Sus scrofa: one gene and its partners. The protein of the gene in region 5 interacts with the protein of the main gene of each other region in a pairwise test. Links are inferred from orthologs where the notes say so. Each region holds a gene or a part of one and is shown on either strand. Other genes may lie near its edges.

The links.
Region 1: the proteins of NUPR1 (region 5) and STX18 interact in a two-hybrid assay, tested with the Homo sapiens proteins (2 studies listed by BioGRID and IntAct). The link is inferred for Sus scrofa from reciprocal best matches to the Homo sapiens genes NUPR1 and STX18.
Region 2: the proteins of NUPR1 (region 5) and FUS interact in a two-hybrid assay, tested with the Homo sapiens proteins (2 studies listed by BioGRID and IntAct). The link is inferred for Sus scrofa from reciprocal best matches to the Homo sapiens genes NUPR1 and FUS.
Region 3: the proteins of NUPR1 (region 5) and MPHOSPH6 interact in a two-hybrid assay, tested with the Homo sapiens proteins (2 studies listed by BioGRID and IntAct). The link is inferred for Sus scrofa from reciprocal best matches to the Homo sapiens genes NUPR1 and MPHOSPH6.
Region 4: the proteins of NUPR1 (region 5) and PSMD4 interact in a two-hybrid assay, tested with the Homo sapiens proteins (2 studies listed by BioGRID and IntAct). The link is inferred for Sus scrofa from reciprocal best matches to the Homo sapiens genes NUPR1 and PSMD4.
Region 6: the proteins of NUPR1 (region 5) and RAN interact in a two-hybrid assay, tested with the Homo sapiens proteins (2 studies listed by BioGRID and IntAct). The link is inferred for Sus scrofa from reciprocal best matches to the Homo sapiens genes NUPR1 and RAN.

Annotation. Positions count from the first base shown.
Region 1 is NC_010450.4:5,932,007-5,936,105, reverse strand, and holds the start of STX18 (syntaxin-18), read right to left. Parts: upstream 2,801-4,099; 5' UTR 2,574-2,800; coding exon 2,388-2,573; intron 2,112-2,387; exon of another isoform or gene 1,882-2,111; intron 1,561-1,881; exon of another isoform or gene 1-1,560. UniProt on the Homo sapiens protein: Syntaxin that may be involved in targeting and fusion of Golgi-derived retrograde transport vesicles with the ER.
Region 2 is NC_010445.4:17,323,766-17,327,865, forward strand, and holds the start of FUS (RNA-binding protein FUS), read right to left. Parts: upstream 2,801-4,100; coding exon 2,788-2,800; intron 1,236-2,787; coding exon 1,211-1,235; intron 1,116-1,210; coding exon 961-1,115; intron 109-960; coding exon 1-108. UniProt on the Homo sapiens protein: DNA/RNA-binding protein that plays a role in various cellular processes such as transcription regulation, RNA splicing, RNA transport, DNA repair and damage response. Binds to ssRNA containing the consensus sequence 5'-AGGUAA-3'.
Region 3 is NC_010448.4:6,253,385-6,257,321, forward strand, and holds the start of MPHOSPH6 (M-phase phosphoprotein 6), read left to right. Parts: upstream 1-1,137; 5' UTR 1,138-1,168; coding exon 1,169-1,267; intron 1,268-3,937. UniProt on the Homo sapiens protein: RNA-binding protein that associates with the RNA exosome complex. Involved in the 3'-processing of the 7S pre-RNA to the mature 5.8S rRNA and play a role in recruiting the RNA exosome complex to pre-rRNA; this function may include C1D.
Region 4 is NC_010446.5:98,001,845-98,006,023, reverse strand, and holds the start of PSMD4 (26S proteasome non-ATPase regulatory subunit 4), read left to right. Parts: upstream 1-1,379; 5' UTR 1,380-1,395; coding exon 1,396-1,421; intron 1,422-4,179. UniProt on the Homo sapiens protein: Component of the 26S proteasome, a multiprotein complex involved in the ATP-dependent degradation of ubiquitinated proteins.
Region 5 is NC_010445.4:18,401,626-18,404,911, reverse strand, and holds NUPR1 (nuclear protein 1), read right to left. Parts: upstream 2,132-3,286; 5' UTR 1,862-2,131; coding exon 1,714-1,861; intron 1,290-1,713; coding exon 1,153-1,289; 3' UTR 1,140-1,152; intron 806-1,139; 3' UTR 501-805; downstream 1-500. UniProt on the Homo sapiens protein: Transcription regulator that converts stress signals into a program of gene expression that empowers cells with resistance to the stress induced by a change in their microenvironment.
Region 6 is NC_010456.5:24,315,225-24,319,491, forward strand, and holds the start of RAN (GTP-binding nuclear protein Ran), read right to left. Parts: upstream 2,801-4,267; 5' UTR 2,539-2,800; intron 1,958-2,538; 5' UTR 1,948-1,957; coding exon 1,912-1,947; intron 1,481-1,911; coding exon 1,396-1,480; intron 1,316-1,395; coding exon 1,190-1,315; intron 1-1,189. UniProt on the Homo sapiens protein: GTPase involved in nucleocytoplasmic transport, participating both to the import and the export from the nucleus of proteins and RNAs. Switches between a cytoplasmic GDP- and a nuclear GTP-bound state by nucleotide exchange and GTP hydrolysis.

The DNA of each region.
Region 1 (4,099 bases), on a different chromosome or scaffold from region 5:
CTTCTGACTGAAAGCCGAAGAGGGTATTTTCAAGTGCTTCTTCACAGTCAAAACCATGCTTAGTTTACACAGAAGGAACTCGGCATTTATTTCTGATTGCCTCCTGCCGGCAGGAGCCTGTTCTGTACTTTCATGCATCTCATTTAATCTGCACAATCAGCCTCTAACTTGACCACCTCTCCAAGTCCACGGTAAGCAAACTGCAGCTCGGACACGCCAGGGCCACTCAGATTAGATCTGCCCAAGTCACCATCTGTGCTCTCCGTGTACCTTATGAGATCCCCCCTGAGGCAAAGTGACAACCACACACAATCACGGGCTGGGTTTGGGCACAATGCTGTGTGGGGCCCTGGCCAGGACACACATAGTGGGCAGGACGTCCCTAGCTCCAGGGCCCTGCCTAACAGAGCCAAACCAGAAAGCTGTGTATCCTGAACTGTAAAAGGCCATTAAACCCCTACATGTGCCATGAAATCAGGGAAGGACGGGGCATGGTCAGCCAGAAAGACTGGGAGAGAGACCCCGGGAAGGGCGAAGAGTGAAGCTCGGACTGGTCCCAGGTAGGGCTAGGCCCCCGGCCCTCTTGCAAGCTCTCCAGATGAGTCTAACGGACCAGCAGGGCCGAGAATCATGGAGGGGAGCACAGGAGAGCGGACTCTGGACTCTGCCTGGACCCACACAGTCCTAGCCCTGTGGCTGGTCCCAGGCTACTTAACCCGGCTTTGCCTCACTATCTTCTTTGGTAAAAAGGGAAAAATAATAGTACATACCTCCCGGAGGGGTACAGGTTAGTTTCTGTTCAGAAGGGTGCCCAGCATATGACAAGTACTATGCAAAGGCTGGAAGGCCCTGAATGCCCCGTAAGGGATTTCTGTAGCCGCAGCGGTAAGTGTCCTCTCACTGACAGCGCTGGCAGAGGACAAGAGCTCGCTTGCCTGCTTTCATGTTAGAGTTGCCTGGTTAAGAAATGGCAGCCTTATGCCATCACGACCAGGTCCAGGTCTGGCTCCCCCAACCCCAGGCCTGAATTTTTAAACAAGAAAAAAAAATACACAATAACATTCACTTTCGGGTAAAAGAATCTGTTGAATTACCTGCAACAAGTAAGCCACTTTTTAAAAGAAGGCTCTCACAGTATTGAGTATAAGGAGATGCAACAAGTTAAAACAGACAGGAGAGTTCGACCGAAAGGACAGACCGCCTTGGCTGCCCCTCCCCGCCCCCCACGACTTGTGGGCTCTAAAAGCCGTTCACCTCGGAAACAGCCGGCAAATGAGGACGTCCTAGTTCCCCAGGCCGTGTGACTTCCTTATCCTCGAGCTGGACTGCGATGCATCACTCAGTGTACCTCCATCAGGATCTCTTTGTTAGAGATCCTTCTCTTTCTTTTTTGGTTCTTTTGGGCCGTGCTTGTGGCATACGGAGGTTCCCAGGCTAGGGATCGAATCAGAGCCACAGCAATGTAGGACCCGAGCCACATCTGCGACCTATACCACAGTTTACGGCAACGCCGGATCCTTAACCCACTGAGCAAGGCCAGGGATCAAACCTACATCCTCATGGATACTAGCTGGGTTCATAACCTGCTGAGCCACAGTGGGAACTCCTGTCATATATACGTTCAAAAACAAGATTCCTCTTTTTTTTCCATTTATCCTTTGCATTCCCCAAAGGAAAGTTAAAGGAAGTAATATGAGATCTTCAATTTTAAGACGAAGAAAACGAAAGTCAGGGATGGTCCAACCCCACCACTGGACGAGATGAACTTGGATTCCTTAAACAGCAACCCCAGTGGCGAGTTAAGGGGACAGGAAAGGCCTGGGCAGCAAAACAACACAGCCTCCCAGCACTGCGAGGCCTCCTGAGTCCTGATAACCCCACCTCAGGACGGTGGCCGCAGGTCCCACGTTGGCCACTGTGTGCCGTGAGCCAGTCATGGGATCATGAGAACGTCACTGTCCTCTCGAGCAGAGACCCCACAGCTGACCGCCGCTCCCACTGATCTACTCCAGCCAATCCGTCCGGGAGTCCTGTAGATTCTACGCCGGAACTGGCTCCCGAATCCTGCCCCTTCTGCTCACCCCATCGCCCGCACCGTGGCGGCGCCTCACTGCTGCCCCTGCCTTCCAGGTTCTCCCTCTCCACCAGTCACAGCCCGCGCCACCCACCCTGCTGGCACAAGCCACTCTGCCAGGGAGGAGCTGAGGCCTGGGAGGTTGGTGCTGTTTCCAACCAGCAGCTCTGGAGCACCATTAAGAGCCTGATACACAATGACGCTGCCCTGCACAACGGGGCGTAGGAAGACTGGCATTTTATCCATAACCCTTCCCATGGCACGTAATCATAGTACCATGGGGTTGGAATTAAAAAAAAAATAAAGAGCCTACCATCAGCCACATCAAACCACAGTGTCCTGTCGGAGACGCAATTCTAAGCCTGGAGCTCTTAGGTGTGCAAAGACCAGCTGCCTGAAAGAGGGAGGTGAAGGCTGTGGGGTGCCCTTTGTGGGAGGCAGGGAGAAGACTCCACCCTGCAAGGCAAGGTAGCCTGCGTCCGAGGGACGTCAAAGCCATGCCAGAACCGGCTTCCTAACGTTTTGCATGGACGTTCCTTCTCCGAAACCAGCATGTGAACCAACGCAGGGCAGTGCTGGTCTCTGAGGACTGTGGTTGGGCGGTGGGAGTGGATGATCACAGATCCCCTCGGGCTCCACGGAGCACAGGGGGCCCCCGAGACGCTAAGACGCCTCCGACCCCTGCCCCCGGGATCTGTACAGAAGGCCTGGCTTTAGCAAAGCGTGACCTCTGATTTAGATCTCAGGGGTCAGGTTGAATTCCCAGGATTATTGCACAATATGCCAATAAAGAGACTTCCAATTTTTAAGACGTCTTGGGGTTGGTGGGCAGGAGAAACTAAGAAAAGCTAGAAAAAGCTACGTCACCATTCAACTTACTCAGCATCAACTGACCAGGCCCTAGAACTATACACAGTACCTTATTATTCTGTGATTAGTACCAAAAACATCCACAGGTAACAAAGCATCTACTCGCACCCATACATATAACGCTCTGCACCAAGCAGTTTATTCTGTCCTACAAATATTTACTCGCTTAATTCTCCTAACAATCTATGAGGCAGACAGTATCATCACCCCAATTTTACACATGAGGAAACTGAGGTGCTGAAATATTAAATACTGCGCCCACTGCCACTCAGCTAACGCGGAGCATGGCTAGATTAAAACTCAGTTACTGTGGCTCCAGAATCTTTGCTCTTGACTAGTGTCTCTACCGCCTGTCATGCTAGAATTTTTAAGAGCTGTCAGCAAAAAAAAAAAAAAAAAAAAAAAAAAAAAAAAAAAAAACAAAAAAAAAAAACACGTGTTCACTGGTCCTGGGATCACCCTGTCCTAACTTCCCGAGACACATCTATCACGCCTGGAACAGCATGTGTTCTGCACCTGCTGAGTGACACGCAGATTATCTTCTAAGACACGAGCACAGGAGGGGACGGCGCGCTCTGGCCAGAGAAGGACTCCTGGGTGCTCGCACCTGAAGGTACCGGCCGAAGGGAGCCACGGCGACAAACGCCCGTCAAGGAACAGATGCGCTGGCTTTCTACTTATTAAAAATAAGTCGCATATAACTTTAGTAACCAGATTAACTGGGAGAGTCAAACTTAAGTCACTTTTTTCCTATAAAAGGAGAATTCTTACTCCACAGAACCTCAGTGCATGCTGTTTTCACCACAGAATTTTACAACTCGTTTATATATGTCTTCCCTACATTTGGAAGGTTGTTTTTTTTTTTTAACTGTTTAGAACAGTTCTCTGCGGGGGGGGGGGGGGCAAAAAGCAAATAGATTCGAAGTGACTTTTCTACTTTGCAAGATAATACTGATAAGTCCAGTAACAATAATAAACCCCAAATAATGACGACATTACTGCCAATATAACAGAAAGGTCTCCCTACTAGACTTGCTGTATTTTGAAACACCGACTCTCATCTAGTTGTTTCGCTTTGTTTTTCTCTGTATCTTCAATTCTCAGTACCGTGACTGGCACACAGTCCCGGTATCCCATAAATATCCACTGAATGGC
Region 2 (4,100 bases), about 1.1 Mb from region 5:
AGCCAGGGTATGAAGACTGCTGCCCGTAAGACGATTGAGAACCCTGGCCACTACCATAGCCACCAGTTGAGCCATATCCCTGGGGAGCTGACTGTGCGCCATAGCCTGCTACGAGAAAAAGAAAAAAAGTCATGAATTGAGGAATGAGAATAGGTTGATGAAACACTGTATACATCCCTAATGCTACCTACACCTGAAGCCAGCCTCTTGAACCACCGCCAATCACAGCCCAAGAGATCCCTCTCCTTTAACAGCATTTAACCAGCCTGTGATGTACATCTCAGATTATTTACCCTTCAGCACCTAAGGGCAAATTCCACCTCTTTGTGTATCAATGTGATATACAGTATGCTGATTTCCAACGTCTTCAAGCAAATCATTTTCTCCTTTTATTTTTTTTTATGCTTTTTAGGGTCACACCCACAGCATAGGGAGAGTCCCAGGCTAAGGGTCGAATTGGAGCTGCAGCAGCTGGCCTACACCAAAGCCACAACAGGATCACACCCAAGTTGCGTCTGTGACCGACACAACAGCTCACAGCAACGCCAGATCCTTAACCCACTGAGCAAGGCCAGGGATCAAACCGGAAACCTCATGGCTCCTAGTCGACTTGTTTCCGCTGCACCATGATGAGAACTCCCCATTTTCTCCTTTTAAATATCAAAAACTTAAAACTCTTTTCCCTTTAGGGAATATTCTTCCCCAATTTCACTTTCATTCTTAGGGGAAACAGGGAGAAGTGCAGCATAAATCAAAAAATGCAAAGTCAAAGAAAATAAAAGGAAACAGAATTAAGTACTTGGAAAGAACTCAAACTCTAAGTAGCTTGAAGGATCACAGACTGGTTAAGGGCAAAGAAACTGGGGGACAGTTTCAACAGTTCAGCACTGCTTAGGTTTAAGAAAAGCAACATTCAGAAAAAGCAGGAAGAGGAAGGGTGACCCACTTAAAAAGACTCACTGTTCTGGGTCTGTCCATAAGAACTGCCATAGCTGCTCTGGCCATAGCCTGAAGTGTCCGCTGACTGGCCGTAACCGCTGTAACTCTGCTGTCCGTAGGGCTGGTTGCTCTGCTGGGAATAGCCCTGCCCAGGCTGGGTGGGGTAGGCCCCGTAGCTGGAGAAGAAAAGGCAACAACGGTGCTCTCAGGAAAAGACACCTTAGCCACCCTTGCCCCCTACAAACTCTGGAAACCCAGAAATGACACTCACCTTTGGGTTGCTTGTTGGGTATAGTCTGCAAAACAGAAAAATACAATCATATTAACATTACCTTCAGCCACCCCTAAGAGAACAAACTAGAGGTAAAGGCCTCAACTCAAGCCCCAGAGCCCCTAGATGTGAAAATTGACAAGGCAGAAATCCCCTCCTGAAACCCTAGTTGAGAGGGGCAAGACGGCAGACCAAAGTCAAGTTTTCTCACAATAAAGACACACCAAAAAAGCGAATTTCTACCGAGACCAAGAGGCCTTAAGTACTGGAAAAAGCAAGAGTCCTGGTGGACAACTACCATTTTTCTGCAACTTCAACTGATATCCGGAACTGCACAAACTGACTCACATGTTTTCACACCCACTCTATGAGGAAGGTATCCCCAAGAGTCCAACTGAAGCCACACAGCTGCTTGAGCAGAACAGGCTTTATTGCAAGCCAGAAGCAAAAACGTTCCGATTGTAGCCTGCACTTTCTCAACCCAAAGAAAGTCTCAAGATCTGGAGAGAGGCCACCCTCCATCCAATCTTGGAGACAGGAACAGGGGGCTTTTAGTGCAGAGCCAGCTCACCAAGAAGGGAGAATTCTTTGACCCCAAACGACAGAGATCGCCATCAAAGAGCGGTCGCCTCGAGAGGCAAGCCGACTGGTACTCAGGTCCTCAGCCCTACGGCTCCCAACGAGTTCCTATCTCCCCTGCCTGCCTCGGGGCTGCGGGGAGACTTGGCGAATCCAAGGTAACGAAAACGCCACAAGGAAGACAGCACAAGCCTGATCAACTCATCTCGATACAGGAAACAGCTTTCCCCGCAGGAAACGGCAAAAGGATCGGGAGAGGGTGTGGCCTAAGGCGGCCGTTCCTTTCAGTTCCTACCTCCCAAGGAGGAAAATTTAGGCGGGAAAAGCCTCACCCGGTCCCCAAGTCCGTTGGACCACCCCCTAGCCCCCCACCCCTAGCCGTTAAACGGGCGCGCGGTCCCGATCCAAAGCCTCCGCCCCCAGCCGCGTGGCACGCGAGGCGGGAACGAGGAGGTCCCGCCCCTTCCCGAGGGACCCCGGGAGCGAGGCCCACACCGGACGAGCGCCGCGGAGCTGCCGGTGGAGGGTCTCGCGACAAAAAGCAGGGCCGACACGAGGCGGGAGGGGGGTTCGCGCCGCCAGAAAAGGGGGGAGGGGCCAGTAGAGCGCGTGCGCGCACCGAGTGCCCGGATGCAGCACTGCGACAAAGCGGGCCCGAGCGCGGGGCTGGAGACGCGGAGGAGAGAAGGCTACGGGGACCAAGCATTTCCATCCGCGTCTCACGTCCCCAGTCACCAAGAAGAGTTCCTCCCAACCCTCACCTAAAGGAAAGGGGCTGCAAAGGGAAGACCTCCCGCCCTGCGCGAGGCGCCAGCGGAGCGAAACAAAATGGCGACATCGGCCTCCCCCTTCCACCCCTCTCCGCTGCTTCCCGCCAGTGGTGCGGAGAAGATCCTACATGCGATCGCTGCCCGGGCCCCACCGAGAAACAAAAGCCCAACTGGGAGCTTACGAGCTCCAGGGCTGGCGCGCCACCGCCGCCTCGCGCACTTACATACCGTTTGAGGCCATGTCCGCGCACGCGCGCACAGGCCGGCAAGCAACAGAATTCCAACACCGCTGAGCACCGACGCCTCGAGGACTGAGCAGCCCCGCCTCCTGCGTCGAGGTTTATGTACGCCTCCCCCGCCTACGTATCCTGGGGGAATGCACCAAATGCGGAAAGGAAAAGGGGAAGCATGGCCGGACTCCTGCCGCCCTTCAGGGAATATATAGGGTCCTAGCCGGCAGAACATAATTGTTATTCACTAAGAACCATGCAAATAATATATATAGCCTTATTTTTTCTGAGAAATAATTTATATTTTCTCTGAAGGACGAGCCAAAGATTCACTTCCACCCCTATAAGATCATAATGGTACAGTCCGATTACCCTCTGGGGGCGGGGCGAGGGGCCTAGGGCGTCTGCGGGCGGAACTGTAGTCAAAGCCGGGAGTCGTGGGGCGGGAACCGAAATTCCTCAGGCTGGCCCCTTTCGCTGGGCCTCACTTTCACTCCGGATAGCGAGCTTCTCCGCTCCACTGCCCTTCCACTGCATCAGATGCATCCTCCCTCCCGCGCCAGCCTCCCTCTCTTGGTTCTAACGTCCCTCCCCCGACCACACACACTACCTTTCTTCGTCTTGGTTTTCACTCATCGTCTTTCAGGGTTGTCCTTACCAGGGCTTGTGGATTGTGACGTTTGACGTGAAAGCAAGCATGGAGTTTAGCTCGGACCCCTGGGTCCTGTTTTGATTAAGCATTTATGGCCCACCTACAACCTCAAAGCTTGGCTTCTGACTCGCTGTTGGACAGAAAAGCCCAAACAATCCGGAGATTGAGATTATATCAGGGTTCTCCCAGCCTTTTGCTGATAAAGGGCTGGGAGTATTTTCCTGAAACCCTACGGAGGAATCAATGTGCAGATCCAACAATAATTGATATTTGTATAGGGCTGAAGTGGCTTCAGAATGCACAATTAGAGAGTTCTCTCAGGGCACAGTGGGTTAAAGATCTGGCGTTGTCACTACTGTGGCTCAGGTGGCTGCTGTGGCAAGGGTTCACTCCCTGGCCCCAGAACTTCTGCATGCAGTGGGCGCGGCCAAAAAAAAAAAAGCCCAATTAATTGCTTTTCCATCACAATCTTACGAAGAAAGATAGCAAGGCTATCTTTTATACACCAAAAAAATGAGACTCAGGCCAAATGCAATCTATGATTATGGAACAGCCAAATGTAAGGGGTCTAATTCGAATCCAGGTCTGTGTGGCTGCAAAATACTCCTTTTGTTAGTTATACAGACATTTTGAAGTGTTCTGAAGCTTGTTCACTCCTT
Region 3 (3,937 bases), on a different chromosome or scaffold from region 5:
CTCTTCAGCATTCTTATGGGGATTAATAATACACATGTGGTACCTAGCATAAGAATTTGACACAGTGCCCACAATCAGCTGAAAAATTATTAGGCTGTGTTTTCCAAAGTGTAGCACCTACAAATGAAAAAAAAATTTTTTTTTTGTTTTTGCTTTTTAGGGCCACACCTGAAGGCATATGGAAGTCCCCAGACCAGGGGTTGAATCAGAGCTACAGGTGTCAGCCTACACCACAGCCACAGCAACGCTAGATCCGATCCACATCTTCAATCTACAGCACAGCTCACGGCAATGTCAGATCCTAAACCCAGTGAACAAGGCCAGGGATCCAAGCCACATCCTCATGGATACTAATGGGTCACAACGGGAACTCCCTAAAAACTGTCTTTAAGTGGTACACAGAGCATTACAGCTATCATTTTTGCAATATTCTTTTAATTCTTCAGATGAAAACAAGGGTATCTTCTCACACTCATAGTCCTCCTGTTTTAGAGAAAGGTCATTTAGGTTCAAAGACGCACACCCTAGTTAACAGGTGAATTAAACACGTTTGTAAGGGCCATTCTGAAGCCAGACCACCTGGGTTTATCCTACCTCCCTTACTCTGGCTTTGGGCTGGTTCCGGAACCTGCCTTTACCTCAGTTTACTCAACTGCAACAAGGGGATAATGACCACTCCCTAGGATTATTGTGAATGTAAAACGAACTACTATGTGTAAAGTGATGCAGAACATAGAAAGCCCACCAGCCACGTTAGAAACACGTGAAGGAAACGGTCCGGACCGGATGGCTGGTGCGGCAAGTGTTTCAAAGGTCTCACCAGGGTGACCGGGTCGGCGCGGCAGGACAAGGTCCGTGAGGCGGGATGCGCTCAGATGGCGCGCGGCCCGAGGAGCCCAGCCAAAGCCCTCAGGGAAGGCCGACAGCAGCCGGGACTCGGGCTTCCTTCGACTGCGGCCTTTTGGGGTCTCCCTCCTGGCGTCACAACGATCTCACGCCTGCTTAGGTGTCTGTGCCTTTACCCTAAGCTGCTTCTCGAAGCGAGCGCTCGCTGAGGCGAAGCGCGAAAAGCGCGGGCAGCTTTGGAACGCGAGAAACGGGGGCGGAGCCAAGGGGCGGGAGAACGCGGGCTACGTAATACGACGCCGATACGCACGCAGCCTGGCGCATGCGCGGCGAGCCAAGGGGCGGAGCGCGGCGCCGGACGGGACTCAGAATGGCGGCCGAGCGCAAGACTAAGTTGTCCAAGAACCTGCTGCGCATGAAGGTACGAGGACGCGAGAGAAGCGGGCCTGGCGGCAGGGATACCTGGCCTTCCAGACTTGGCTGGGGCGCAGGCAGCGGGCGTACGGCGAGCGCAGGGGACTTCCTGCTCTCGCGTTCATTCATTCACTTAACGCCTGCTCTAGGTTAGCCACTGGGAACAGGATAATGAATCCAGCGGAATCTCTCACAAAGTTCTTGGTCCCACAGGAGAGACAGACACGTAAGCAGGCAGTTAGGATACAGCGTACTAAGTGCAGTGATGCTAGAAGCGCCGGAAGCTCCGGCAAAGTACTTGAGCTTCTGCAAGTGGTGGAGTAGAGTTAAGACTGAAGGGTGGGGGTTGGGGGGCAAGGGGGCTATAGAGACATAGACGAATGGGAAAGCGAATTCAGAAGTCTGAGGGGCAAACTCCCCCCAAATCCGTTTTTTTTTCCGGAAACTAAAAGTCATTCGGTATGTGTGAAAGGCAAGCAGCAGGAAATGGGCCTGGAAAATGAACCAGTAGTTGCAGCATGTAAGGAATTTTAGGCTAGGTTAAGATTTGTTTTGTTTTTTAATCTTGTGTCATTGCGAAGCTATTGAACACGGAGCAAAGTAGCATTAGCTGTGCTTCTTTCTTGTCACCATAACTTTTACTGTCCTGTGGAGAAAATACATTGGTGAAAGAAAGACCCAACAGGGGTCCAAATTACAGTCTTAACGACCAGCTAGATCTGATCTGGGTGAAAGGTTTGAGTGGTGATGGGAATGGAGAGAATTTTAATACTTTAGGTGAAAGTGAATTATGTCACCCAGAACTTTAAACAAAATTGATTTCCAGATTTGAAGTTGGATTAATTTAAACATACTAATTTCAGATTGGGGAGGGGAGGCAAAAATAGATAAAATAAATATAGGAATTAAAACAGGAGGAATAGACAGGCCTTAAAACTTAAATAATAGAAGTAGCAAACATCTATAGTCCTTGCTTTGTGCTGGACACTGTTGTAATTGCTTTGCATGAAATCCACTTAATAACCCATGAAATCCCCATAACAACCTTTTTAAATGGGTACAGTTATTATCCCTCTCTTACATCTGAGGCACCTGAAACAAAAAGCAAGTAATTTGTTCAAAGTTACACTACTGGAGTTCTTGTTGTGGCTCAGGATAACGAACCCAACTAGTATCCATGAGAATACAGGTTCAATCCCTGGCCTCGGTCAGTGGGTTAAGGATCTGGCATTGCCATGAGCTGTGGTGTAGGTCGCAGACATGGCTCAGATCTCACCTTGCTGTAGCTGTGGTGGAGACCAGCAGCTGCATCTGATTTGATTCCTAGCCTAGGAACTTCCATATGCCGTTGGTGCAGCCCTAAAAAGACCAAAAAAAAAAAGTTACACTTCTAATAAAGAGTGTAGACAGAACTTAAACTCAAGCAGTCTGGCTCCAAAGCCCTAGCCCTTAATTACTACTCTGTACTGCTTGTTGCTAAACACCCCCTCATAGATGCAAACTGTTAGATACCATGTTTAGAGAATAATGGAGTTTCCAATAAAAGAAAGCAAGAAATGTATAATCTCTTGAAAGATTAGAGAGTAAATGTTGCATGTGCAAGACATGAATGGTGTTGAGCTAGAGTGTAACTAGGGATGAATAAGATGAGGGTGGAGGATAAATCATAGTGTAATTTAGTTTCTAAAGTACTACTTACAGGCATATTAACAAAATTTGAATCATTACTGAACAGAGTCATTTGCTTATGGTTTGTAATCATGTAGATTTCAAAGAAGTGGATTGGCAGTGCAGGCATTGAAATGATTTTAGCAGCAGTTGTTTTAGCTCTTGGAATAAGTCAAATGGAGGAGTTCCTGTCGTGGCTCAACAGAAACAAATCTGACTAGCATCCGTGGGACGCAGGTTCAATCCCTGGCCTCTCAGTGGGTTAAGGATCCAGTGTTGCTGTGAGCTGTGGTGTAGGTCGCAAGTGCGGCTTGGATCTGACATTGCTGTGGCTGTGCAGCTACAGCTCCAATTCGACCCCTAGCCTGGGAACCTCCATATGCCACAGGTGCTGCCCTAAAAAGACCAAAAAAAAAAGTCAAATGGAGATGTGCTGAGTGATTATGGCTCAAACCAACAATCTAATTTGGGGGGTAGGAAGGAAGAAGTTAAAAGAAAAAAAAAATTTCACCTGCATTGAGGAAGATTCAGGTGGACATTGGAGGCAAAGGAGAGAGGGAAAAAAACTTACCCAGGTTCTCTAGTTGGATTAGCAATTTTGACCATTGACAAGAAAGAATTTAATAGCAGGATTGCAGGAGACACAGTACAGATGGAGGAGGGTAAGCCTATGAGAAGGAATGGAACTGCTATATTAGGTTGCCTTATCCTTGTCTGGCAGAGCTGTTCAGCCAGAGCTAAGAACAGAGCAAGAATGAGAAGGTTGAGGATTTAATACTGACTCATTTGTTTCCTAGTGTGCTTGAAGTCCTCTGTCCTGGTCAGCTATTGGAGGCTGGAGGGTACTCCTGACAGGAAGTAGAAAGTTAAAGGATGTATGTGGAAGGTCTGTCGGTATGATGGAATGTTTATAGAAAGTCACTCGTCAGTGACTTGTGCTCTTTTGGACTCTTAAGACAAAAATTAGTGAACTTTTTCTGGGAAAAGTCTTTAGTTTTGTGGGCCAAAC
Region 4 (4,179 bases), on a different chromosome or scaffold from region 5:
TTCCTAGTCAGATTCGTTTCCGCTGGTCCACAAAAGGAACTCCAATAACGGATTCATCCTTAACCCACTGGGACACAAAAGAACTCCTAGCATTTAAAAAAAAAAAAAAATTTTTTTTTTTAAGTGATGCCACTCAAGGCATACCGAACTTCCTGCACCAGGGATTTGAATTGCGCTGCAGTTGCAACCTAAGCTACAGGGGGTAATGCAGCATCTTTTAACCCACTGCAGCCAGGGGATGGGGATGGATTCCTCACCTCCATAGCCACCTGCAACTCTGCATGGGATTCGTAACCCATTGCGCCAGAGCGGGAACTCCTTAAATGGAATTTTTGATTAAAATCCAATATGGTTGACTAAGTTATCTCCCATTCTTTGGGAGATTAGTTAAAATTATTGATTTGTAAAAACTTTTCTGCATTCCTACCATGTGTTAGGCTATGTAGTGGGCTCAGGGATAGAAGTGATTAAGACAACTTTCCTGGAGTTCCCGCCGTGGCGCAGTGGTTAACGAATCCGACTAGGAACCATGAGGTTGCGGGTTCGGTCCCTGCCCTTGCTCAGTGGGTTAAGGATCCGGCGTTGCTGTGAGCTGTTGTGTAGGTCGCAGACGCGGCTCGGATCCCGCGTTGCTGTGGCTCTGGCGTAGGCCGGTGGCCACAGCTCCGATTCGACCCCTAGCCTGGGAACCTCCATATGCCGCGGGAGCGGCCCAAAGAAATAGCAAAAAAAGACAAAAAAAAAAAAAAAAATGTATGCAAAAGAAGAATGAAAAGTATAATGAGTTCCCCATGTACCCATCACCTGGCTTCAAAATTGTGCTATAACGGGTCACCTTGCTCTACATCGGAAAATTGACAGAACAATGTAAACCAGCTATAATGGAAAAAAAAAAAAAAAAAAGACAACTTTCCTGCTCTTAATGAAAAGGGAGCGTTAGATACACAAACAAATGCAATTCAGGGGTAAAAGGGTTTAGCAGTTAGACGAACAAAGTGCCATGGGGAACAGGGGGAGCTGAAAAGTCACTAGTCATCCCACCATTATTTTTAAAAGATGATGCTGGAACAGACATAACCATAGCACTTGTCTTTTTTCTTTTTTGCCACGCCGGCTGCATGTGGATTTCCAGGGCCAGGGATGTAACCAGCGCCACAGCAGCCACCCAAGCCGCTGCAGTGACGAGGAAGAATCCTTAACCCCTTCAGCCACAAGGAAACTGCAATCCCTTTTATTTTGGCGGCGCCTACAATTCCCAGAACGCATCGCGGAGGATGGAGGCGGAACCAGTTGGTCGATCAGAGACCTATGATTGGTGATGAACGCTGGGCCAATTGGAGGAGTTGTTGTTAGGTGGTCCAGGAGAACCGGTCGGGGAGGGAGAAAGCTGGCAAGATGGTGTTAGAAAGCACTATGGTTTGGTGAGGAACTACTTCGGGCCCCTGTGGGGCAGCGGGACTGGGTCGGGGGCGCGTGTAGCTCGGAGGCCGGGCAGGCCTGGGGTGGGGACGGGGCCTTATGGGCGAGTTGAGGCCCCGGGCCGGGAAGGAAGGCGGTGCATCGACTCCCTGAGTCATCCCCGGGCCCCGGAGTTAGTTCCCGGAGAACAGGCCCCGGGTGTCCCCCTTTAATCCTCAGCCCGCGTACAGCCATTGACCGGCCGATTCTTGCTGCCTTTCTCTATTCCAGCGTCTTTAGCTAGAGTTCGACTCTCAGACTCATCCTGATGGTCTTCTGCCCTCCTCTTCTAAATGATGGATGTTAGGAAGAGATGATAAATCCCTTCCCCGTCCCCATTTACTCGTGTCTAACTCTATTGCCTTTCTCTGTATCATCTTCAAAGGTACAGCTTACAGGTTGCTTTCTAAATGTCAGGCGTTTAACTTACTTTATTTCACTTAAACCTCACTATACTTAAAGTCCCTCCCTTTTACAGATGAGGATACGGAGTCTCGTCAATTTTAAAATGACTTACACAAAGTCACACAGCTAATTAAGTAGTGGAGCTAAAATTTAAACCCAGAATTATCTGACACAAGGGCTCTTATCCAGTGAGCTAGCTCTCTTCATCAGTCTCATACTTGGCTGAGTAGCTATTAGGAGTCGGATTAGAAGCTGAGAACACAAACTTTTGCAGGGTTTCAGGAGTTTCTTCTAAGTGTGAGCATAGAATAAACACAGACTAGTACGCAAACACAAACAAATAGCCAGTTGGATGGACAGACACCCAAGAGTATCTCTGCCAGGAGGTTAGCATTGCTAGATTGCATATAAGCTGCCCATTTAAATTTGAATTTCAAATAAGCAATATGTTTTGATGTTAAAAATGGATATAAGTATATCTCAAATATTATGTGGAACATACTTATACTAAAAAGTTATTGTTTATCTGAAATTCAAATTTATTTTTATTTTTTTATTTTATTGTCTTTTGTCTTCTTAGGGCCTCCCCTCGGCATATGGAGGTTCCCAGGCTAGGGGTCCAGTAGGAGCTGTAACCCTGGCCTCTGCCAGAGCTGCAGCACTGCAGTATCCAAGCTGCGTCTTCGACCTACGCCACAGCTCATGGCAGTGACAGATCCTTAACCCACTGTGGGTGGCCAGGATGCTACCCAAGTCCTCATGGATGCTAGTCGGGTTCATTAACTGCTGAGCCACAGAGGAAACTCCTGAAATTCAAATTTAACTGGGACTCTGCTGTCGATCATGGCTCAGTGGAAACAAATCTGACTAGCATCCATGAGGATGCAGATTTGATCCCTCTCCTTGCTCAGTGGGTTAAGGATCTAGTGTTGCTGTGGCTGTGGTGTAGACCGGCAGCTCCAGCTCCAGTTCAGCCCCTAGTCTGGGAACCTCCATATGCCATGGGGGCAGCCCTAAAAAAAAAAAAAAAAAAAAAAAAGGACAAAAAAAAACGTAGAAAGAGGACAGGATTTGGAATCAAAAACCTCTGTTTTAGGTCATGACTAGCTACATGTTCTTGAGAATGTATTAAATCTCTCACTTTTTTAAAAAAATGAGAATAATAACATCTATTTTTCTTATGGCTTAGGTAGGTAAAATGTATAATATGGAGCTCTGTAAATTGTATAGCACTGTACGTATATTGGTTTCCATTGCACTTGAGGAATCCTTGAGAAAGAATTTAAGAAAGGTCTTAGATGTTGAGGAAGGGAAGCTATTACACGTGGAGAGAAGAGCATAAAGCTGCTGCAGTGTAAATTCTCAAGGTATGTTTAGGGAGTAGGAAATAGATTGGTGTGACGTTGTTTTAATTGTTGGTTTAAGATGGTTCTTTTTTTTTTTTTGGAGAATGTATATGGAAGTCCACAATTGTCGGGCTAAGGACACTGAGTTCTGTCTTGTACCTTCAATAGAGGACTGCTGAAAAAGTTCTGAGTCTGGTGGAGGTGGAACTGTGTACAAAATGGCATTTAAGAATATTGATCCAGGGAGTTCCCGTTGCGGCGCAGTGGTTAACAAATCCGACTAGGAACCATGAGGTTGCGGGTTCGGTCCCTGCCCTTGCTCAGTGGGTTAAGGATCTGGCGTTGCCGTGAGCTGTGGTGTAGGTTGCAGACGAGGCTCGGATCCCATGTTGCTGTGGCTCTGGCGTAGGCTTGCGGCTACAGCTCCGATTCGACCCCTAGCCTGGGAACGTCCATATGCCGCGGGAGCGGCCCAAGAAATAGCAAAAAAAGACAAAAAAAAAAAAAAAAGAGAATATTGATCCAGGAGTTCGAGTTGTGGCTCAGCGGCTTACGAACCTGAGTAGCATTCATGAGGATGCAAATTTGATCCCTGGCTTTGCTCAGTGGATTAAGGATCTGGTGTTGCCGAGAGCTGTGGTGTAGGTCACAGACGCAGCTTGGATCTGGTGTTTCTGTGGCTGTGGCGTAGGTTGGCAGCTGCAGCTCCAGTTCAGCCCTTAACCCCGGGAGCTTCCATATGCCGAAGGTGCCCCCTTTAAAAGGAGGGGGGAAGTATTAATTTGATTTGGTGTAAAGGAGGAAAGATTAGGCCTAGAGAGACACATTGGTGGCTTATTGTAAGAGCCCAGCCTTGGGTGGAATAACCATGAGAGCCACTCCTTTTTATCTGCAGGGGTTCATGCCTTGCTCTGCATCAGAATTTTCTGAAAGAGCTTTTTAAAAATTGTGTATAGGAGTTCCGTCGTGG
Region 5 (3,286 bases):
TGGTTCAATCCCTGGCCTTGCTCAGTGGGTTAAACATCTGGCATTGCCATGAGCTGTGGTGTAGGTCGCAGACACGGCTGGCATCCCGTGTTGCTGTGGCTGTGATGTAGGCAGGCAGCTGCAGCTCTGATTAGACCCCTAGCCTGGGAACCTCCGTATGCCACGGGTGCAGCCCTCAAAAAAAAAAAAAAAAAAAAAAAAAAAGCAAAAACAGAGAGGAGCTGGGGAGAGGGCTTATTTCACAGGCAGCATTACAAAGAACAGAGGAAATTCCCTCACACTGCATAAGAAACCACAGAAACACATGCACCCAAACATGCAGACAAAAAAAGAAAAGAAAAAAAAAAGCTCACCTTAAATTAGAAACAGCCCTTCCCAGACGCATAACCAAATACAAACACTAACCAAAATTGCTCTCTCTGGTTCATGCAAATGCAGATACACATGTACCCAAAAAAAACCCCACGAAAATAAAGAGGACAAAACACACACACACAGGCTGCAGCTGCTGTACTTTGTTTATTGTCACTGTCACCCTTGGGAAGCTCCAGCCTCTTTAGCATCTTTCTTTTTTTTTTGTTTGGGGTGACCCTGCTTTTCTCTACCCCCTGCCTCTTGCTCCCCAACCTGCCCTTTTTCTCAGGCTGGGGCGGCTTCCCTGGCAGCCCCTCGAGCCTCAGTCACGTGGGGTAAGTCCTGGGGGTGGAGGGGCAGGGCGGCCAGCAGGCCTGGATCCCGCCCCCAGGCACTGATTCCTCCGCAGTCCTGTCTCCATTGCTGTGGGGTGTCTGTGCTCTGGCCTCACCTGGCAGAAGGAAAGCAGATGGTGAAAGCACAAAGGCCCGGGTTCTAATTCTGGCTCTCCTGCTCACTCACCCGTGACTCCAGAGAAAGATCTTACACTCTCTGGGCCTCGGTTTCCCTCTCTCTAAACCAAATTTTGCTCCAGTTGGAAAGGATCTGTTTCCCTCTTTGCTCTGGCCACTAGGGAACTCAGAGTCCAACATATGTCTCATTTTATTCTATGTTGGGACAGCAATTGTTTGATCCCTCCTCCCTGCCCACCCACGCACGTTCAGGCCTGTCCTTTCCTAGCAGAGGGACCTCTACTGGTACTCAGGGAGCCCCTGATTCCTTACCTCGAGTTCTGTTTCAGGTCCGTGCTGCTCGCTTTTTCCGCTCCGTGTTCTGGATCTTGGTCACCAGCTTCCTCTCGTGGCCACCAGGGCTGGGGCGGTTGGTGTTGGCAGCAGCCTCTCTCTTGGTGCGACCTTTCCGGGCTCTCCCTCCTGGGAATCAAGACAGGGGTCCGCGGTGAGGTGGGCAGAGGCGTGATGCCTCAAGGGACGGGCTGGGGGTCCAGCGGGCGGGGGTGGAAGAGCTCGGGTTAAAGTCAGGAGGCTGGGGGGTCATGACCACGTAGCTTTAGGGATGTCCTTGTCCCTGTTTCCCCATCTGTGGAAATAGGGTACCGCCCCCCAATCTGTCATTGCTCCAAACACTCTAGCAGAGTATGAGGTCCCAGGGCCAAGTAGGACGGGGATGCTCAGTGGATGCGGGGTTAGAAGGGGGCAACTTGAAAGATCAAGGGAACAGGCCGGAGAAGGGTGATGGGTGGGCAGGAGCCCAAGGAAGGATTCTAGTGTGGGGAGATGGGGTGTCGGACTGTGTTGGAAATAGAAGGACTGGGAAGGTGGCAGGGCCGGGACTTACCCAGGTAAGAATGAGCCAGGCTATAGAGGTCGTACTCATCCAGGTTGGGGTCTTCATCTTCTGGGCATAGGAGCTGCCTGGGGGGGCTGGCTGCTCGCGGGAAGGTGGTCATAATGTCTCTGTCTCTGTCTCTCTCTTCCTCGCCCATCTTCTAAGGCTGTGTTTGCATCTGCTTTCCTGACACCTCCTAGTTCACGGCCCCGATTTATAAGGCCACGTCTCCTCCTCAGCCCCTAGTCTGGCTCCAGCCCCTCAGGCTCTGTCTGATGCAATCTGGCCTTTTCCCAGAACCCAGCCAAGTAAACACCAGTCACGAGAGGGGAAAGGAGTCATCCCCTCCCCCGTGAGCCCCAGCCCCCCTGCCTCCTCCCTCTCACCGGGGCTCGCCCAGCTGGGTATTTTTCCACAGAGAAGAGCCTCAGGGCTGGGGGCTGGGGAGGAGGGAGGAGGCGGAGTCTGGCATAAACAGCCCTTGGGATCTAAACCAGCAGGGAACTCAGCGCCTCACCTGGTTGACTCCTCCCTGGCCATCGCCTGCCCTCTGCCACATGCCCTTCCTGGGCTGGGGGGTCACGGCCACACAGCTGACCTCCACCCCCATCCGCTTCTGGCTCAGATTCAGGACTGGCGGCAGAACATGGAGTGAAGAATGACCTGGGAGAGGACACAACACACGCTGTGCTCTGTCATGCGTTCTGACCCTGATCTCAACCAACGCCCACTTTTTCTTGTATTTATGTAGTTTCTTTTATAATTTTTTTTTTAGGGCTGCACCCGTGGCATATGGAAGTTCCCAGACTAGAGGTCGAATCAGAGCTGCAGCTGGCAGCCTATGCCTCTGCCACAGCAACACCAGATCTGAGCCGCCTCTGTGACCTACACCACAGCTTACGGCAACGCCAGATCCTTAACCCACTGAGCGAGGCCAGGGATCGAACCCAGGTCCTCATGGATACTAGTTGGGCTTGTTACCACTGAACCACAATGGGAACTCCCCTTTTACTTTTAAATAAGAAACACCTTGGAAAGCCCCCTTAACATCCTGAACTGGGGGTCAGTAGATGATCTCCCCCTCCTGAGATGGGGGCTAGCAGAGTGGTTAAGAATGCAGATTCTGGAGCCAAATGACCTGGATTCAAATCCTTGATCCACTACTTCCTGTGCGACCCTGGACAAGTCACTTTACGTCTCTGGGCCTCAGTTTCCTCCTCTGTAAAAGGAGGATGATAGTTGTATCCAGGTTATAGAGTTGGGGTGACGTTCAAGATAATCCACAGCAAGGCACTTGGAACACTGCCTGCTACAGGGTTAGCTGCGTGGCATCTGTTGATCACACAGTTTCCAAACAGCTCAATATAATGCTCTCCTGGAGTTCCCGTTGTGGCTCATGGGTTATCGAACCCGACTAGCATCTGTGAGGATGTGGGTTCCATCCCTGGCCTCGCTCAGTGGGTTGAGGATCTGGCATTGCTGTGAGCTGTGGTGTAGGTCGCAGACATGGCTCGGATCCCGCATGGCTGTGGCTGTGGGGTAGGCTGGCAGATGTAGCTCCTATTGGACCCCCAACCTGGGA
Region 6 (4,267 bases), on a different chromosome or scaffold from region 5:
AATGTACAGCAATTAGTACATACCAAGGAATTTACTACCCAAATGAAAAAAATGTTGAAAACTATGGACTCAGATTCATAATCTCAGGCCTAACTCTAATTTCTCTATTCAATTGCAAGGTCTATACCAATTCTAAAAATCTTAGACCATTTAAATATACATTATTTTAAATTCTCTTTTATTGTATGTGAAAGCATGAAAGACCAGCCTACCATATGAAATCTCTCCACCTGTAGTAATTCATCATAAACTCTGCCTCATTCAAAAAAAAAATACCCAATGTAGATTAACAATAAATTAGCATTCCAGAGAACTCACCTTCCACATATAGGATGTAAGAATCTATTCTTTAAAAGGTTCTTAAATAGATAAATACATGAGAATATATAGTGTGCCTGTTTTCAAAAGTTCAGTGAAGCCCGTATTTATTGTCTTATAGAACAGCCATAATAAGGCTGCTAAGCCACTAAGTAGGCACAGTGTATCACACAGATTTGTAGCTAAAAGATTTGGCTGGCGGGAATCCTTGCATTTGTATGTACCCAAGGAAAGCAAAAGACATGGAAAGATTCTCAACAATTTTCATCAAAAGAGAAAGATTCTAGGAAATAAGCATTCTTTATTCATCTTTTTTTCTTGGTATAAGCACTTATTTCCTTCCATTTTTTAAACCAAGCACTTTGAAATAAATATTCCACAAGACCTAGTACATTTAAAAAGAAATCAGCTGGTCCTATACAACATTTTATAAGACAGAAGACCTAGCTCCTCTGGTCCAGCATCTGCTCAAATGTTTACTACCTTTTCAATGGAGTGCACAAGAAATAATCGTTGAAATCACCAAAATATATATTCAAACACTCCCAAGTTTTCAAATACAGGAGCTCCAGTAACAGCTTGTCTGTGGCGTTTTAAGTTATGAGCCTGAACACAAACCATAGTTTCTTCCAAAACCGTGCCTATCATGACACAATCAAATGGCACATAACAAACTTCACAAAATTCTCTGCCCCTCAAATGATGGTCAAGTCCCTGAAGCCAGCACATCCTTTGGATCCAACTACCCGATTCCCAGTTCAGTCAGTACTATGCATGAGTCTACTGGACTAGATCGGATTATTTATAAGCAACCTTGGAGACCAACTCACAGATCCTCTCGAAAACTGTTGGTTACAAATCAAGCACCTACCTTGGATATAATAGCCATCTCTCAGTCCACCAAATTTCTCCTGACCAGCCGTATCCCATACATTGAACTTAATAGGTCCTCTGTTGGTATGGAACACAAGGGGATGGACCTCAACACCCAAGGTAGCTGAAACACAAGCACTTCCAGTTAGTCGCTGAACTCATCCATTTCGCACACATCTTCATCAATGGTTTTCCCCTACGTACCTACATACTTCTTCTCAAATTCACCAGTCAGATGACGTTTCACGAATGTAGTTTTCCCAGTACCACCATCACCAACCAATACAAGCTGTCGAAAGACATTTTTGAAATAAACACCAAGACACGCAACATTTCAGGATCTCAGAATTATGTAGTTAAGATTTTATGGACACCCATTGCACTTACATAACAGAACTTTAAATATCCCTTAAGTATATTTAAAACAAAGAATCTTAATGAAGCTGCCCTGTCCCATATTAATGAATGACTGGAGCCAATGAAACTTCCCTTGCCCAGCTTCCCTATCCGTAGGGTGGGGCCAGCACCCCCACCCCGTTATCGGGGGGCTGAAGGCCCTGCCGCGGCACGAACATGTTGGCAGACGAAGTGGGCCTTCGACACAGGTTTGCGGTCATAAAGGAGACCCTGTGAAACCCGTTTGGACAAGAGCCCCCCCCCCCCGCAGATCCCCTCCTCAGGTCCACAGCAGCAGATCCCCAACTCACGAGGATTACCTACTTTGAACTGAACTTGGGGCTCTCCTTGGGCAGCCATCGTGATGTTACTGCGAGAGAAGGAGAAAGAAGTGAGGCCCGCTGCACAGCGGCGCGGGCCGCATGGCCCGACCCGCCCCACGTGCCCGGGCCCACAAAGGCCTCCAACCCGGAGCCCCGCCGCCCACTCCCCCTCCCCCGACACCGCACGCGGGCGGCCGAGGGCGCGCCAATGGCGACGGCGGCGCTGCTCCTCAGCCGGGCTCCTCCGGCCGCCGGGGCCCGGCGCGCGCCCAGTCGGCGCGGAGGCCGGGCGAAAGGGAGGCTCGCTCGGCGCGGAGACCGGGGCGCGGAAAGCGCCTGGTCACGGTAGCACAACCAGGCCCAGCCGCCCCTGGCCCCCGCCAGGACCCTCCAGCCCGATCTCCCCTCCGCCTGGCCGCCCCGGGGACCCTCTCCGCCCGCCCGGCCCACTGCGGCCCGGGTTCCGGCGCCGGCCCGGGGCCTCCGCGGCCAGGAAAGAGAGCTTTCCACCTGACACCTAGGCCCCGCGAAACCACCTCCTCATGGCTGCCGCTAGCCACAGCCACCGGGACGCCCCGACCCCCCCATCCCCGCCTTGGCTCCTCGGCCTCCACCCTTGCCCCGCTACCTTCCAGAAGCGTCTCCGCGCCCGTCTGACTGAGGGCTAGAAAGATGGCGGAAGCGCAATTCAAATGCCCGGAGACGCAGACGACGCCGGCGCGCGCCGGGGGAGGGCGGGGCAACGGCGCCGCGCCGCTCCCACGTGGCCCGGCGCGCGCGCGCGCGCGCACACGCACACAGCACAGCTTTGGCGGCCGCACCCGTCGTCCAGGAGGGAGAGGCTCCCGGAGCCCCGGACGCGGGAGGCCCGGCGGTCGCGCGCACGCACGTCGGGCTGCCGGGCCACGTGCGCCAGCCTAGAGGGCGGGTTCCCGCGCGCGCATGCGCTGACAGCGACGCGGCGCGCCCTGTTGCCGCCGCGGGAACAGAGCTGGGAGGAGAGGGCCGAGGCCCCCTTGGGCGGGAAACTCGCGGGGTGGCCCACACAAAGCCTTTGACCCCCCCCCCCCTCGCAGCTGTACGAACGCGGCACCGCAGGCCCCGAGCGGGCGCCATGTTGGGGTGCGTGCTGCCCCACCCCCACCCACCGGTATTCTGGCCCCTGCCCTTGACCCTCACCCCCATCTCAGTAAGGACCTTCTGGAGAGTAAAAGAAGCAAAGACCAATGTCTTTCCCATCCTGAAATGCCAGTCACTTTTTTCTCTGAGCATCTAAGTGGTCAGCAGCCTTTGTGGCCCTATTCTGCAAACAGGATGATGCAATGTAGTGTTTCCACCTTGGCAGCTCTTCTGAGACAAACAGGCATGCAGTCATTGAGTATTTAGGTTCCAGTCATTGAGTATTTAGGTTCCAGACTCTTGTGAGGGTAAGGCTGTCAAGGGTCCAGACAAGAACTGTGCACTCATAGAACTTAATTCTCCAGGGCATATCCACCTGTGGCCATTGTCCAAGAGAGAAAATGAGGTACACCTCAAACTCAACAAGTGTTGGTTATTCCCATTCACTTGCTTTGAGCAAAGCCGTTGGCCAAACGGAGCCCTCCCACCTCACATCGTAAATCTAAAGGCCAGGTTTTGGCATTTGTCTGAACAGCCACAGATTCTCAAACTGATATGGTTTTGTTTGTCTTTTTGCCTTTTTCAGGGCCGCTCCCAACGCTTATGGAGATTCCCAGGCCAGGGGTCTACCAGGCCAGGGGTCTAATCGCAGCTGTAGATGCCCGCCTCCGCCACAGCCCCAGCAAAGCAGGATCCGAGCCACCTCTGCAACCTGCACCACAGCTAACGGCAACACCGGATCCTTAACCCACTGAGCAAGTCCAGGGATTGAAGCCACATCCTCATGGTTCCTAGTCTGATTCGTTAACCACTGAGCCACGACAAGGAACTCCTCAAACTGATATGTTGATCCCCTCTCCCCAAGCAAGCATATCAGGATAGCCAAGTTCCTCAAAAGATTCCACCTTGGGGACTCTTCTCAGAGCAAAGAGAACCCAAATGACCAAGGAGTTAGCCACATAGTCCTGAGCATACTTGCAGGCTAGTCTACTGGGAACTCGTGATATATTGGACACAGCACATCTGAGCACATGCCTGCTGCAAAGTCAAGTCTGAGGACTCCCTAGACACCCCCCACGAAAACATCAAGTAGAGCTGATGCCCCTGGTGAGAGTGTAAATTGGTTTGGCCTCTTGGGAGAGTAGAATGGAATAAAACACACATTAATGTCCATAGCTCATGACCATCTATTTCCATTTCTAGGGAGATGCCCTAGAGTTCAACTCACACATATGCCC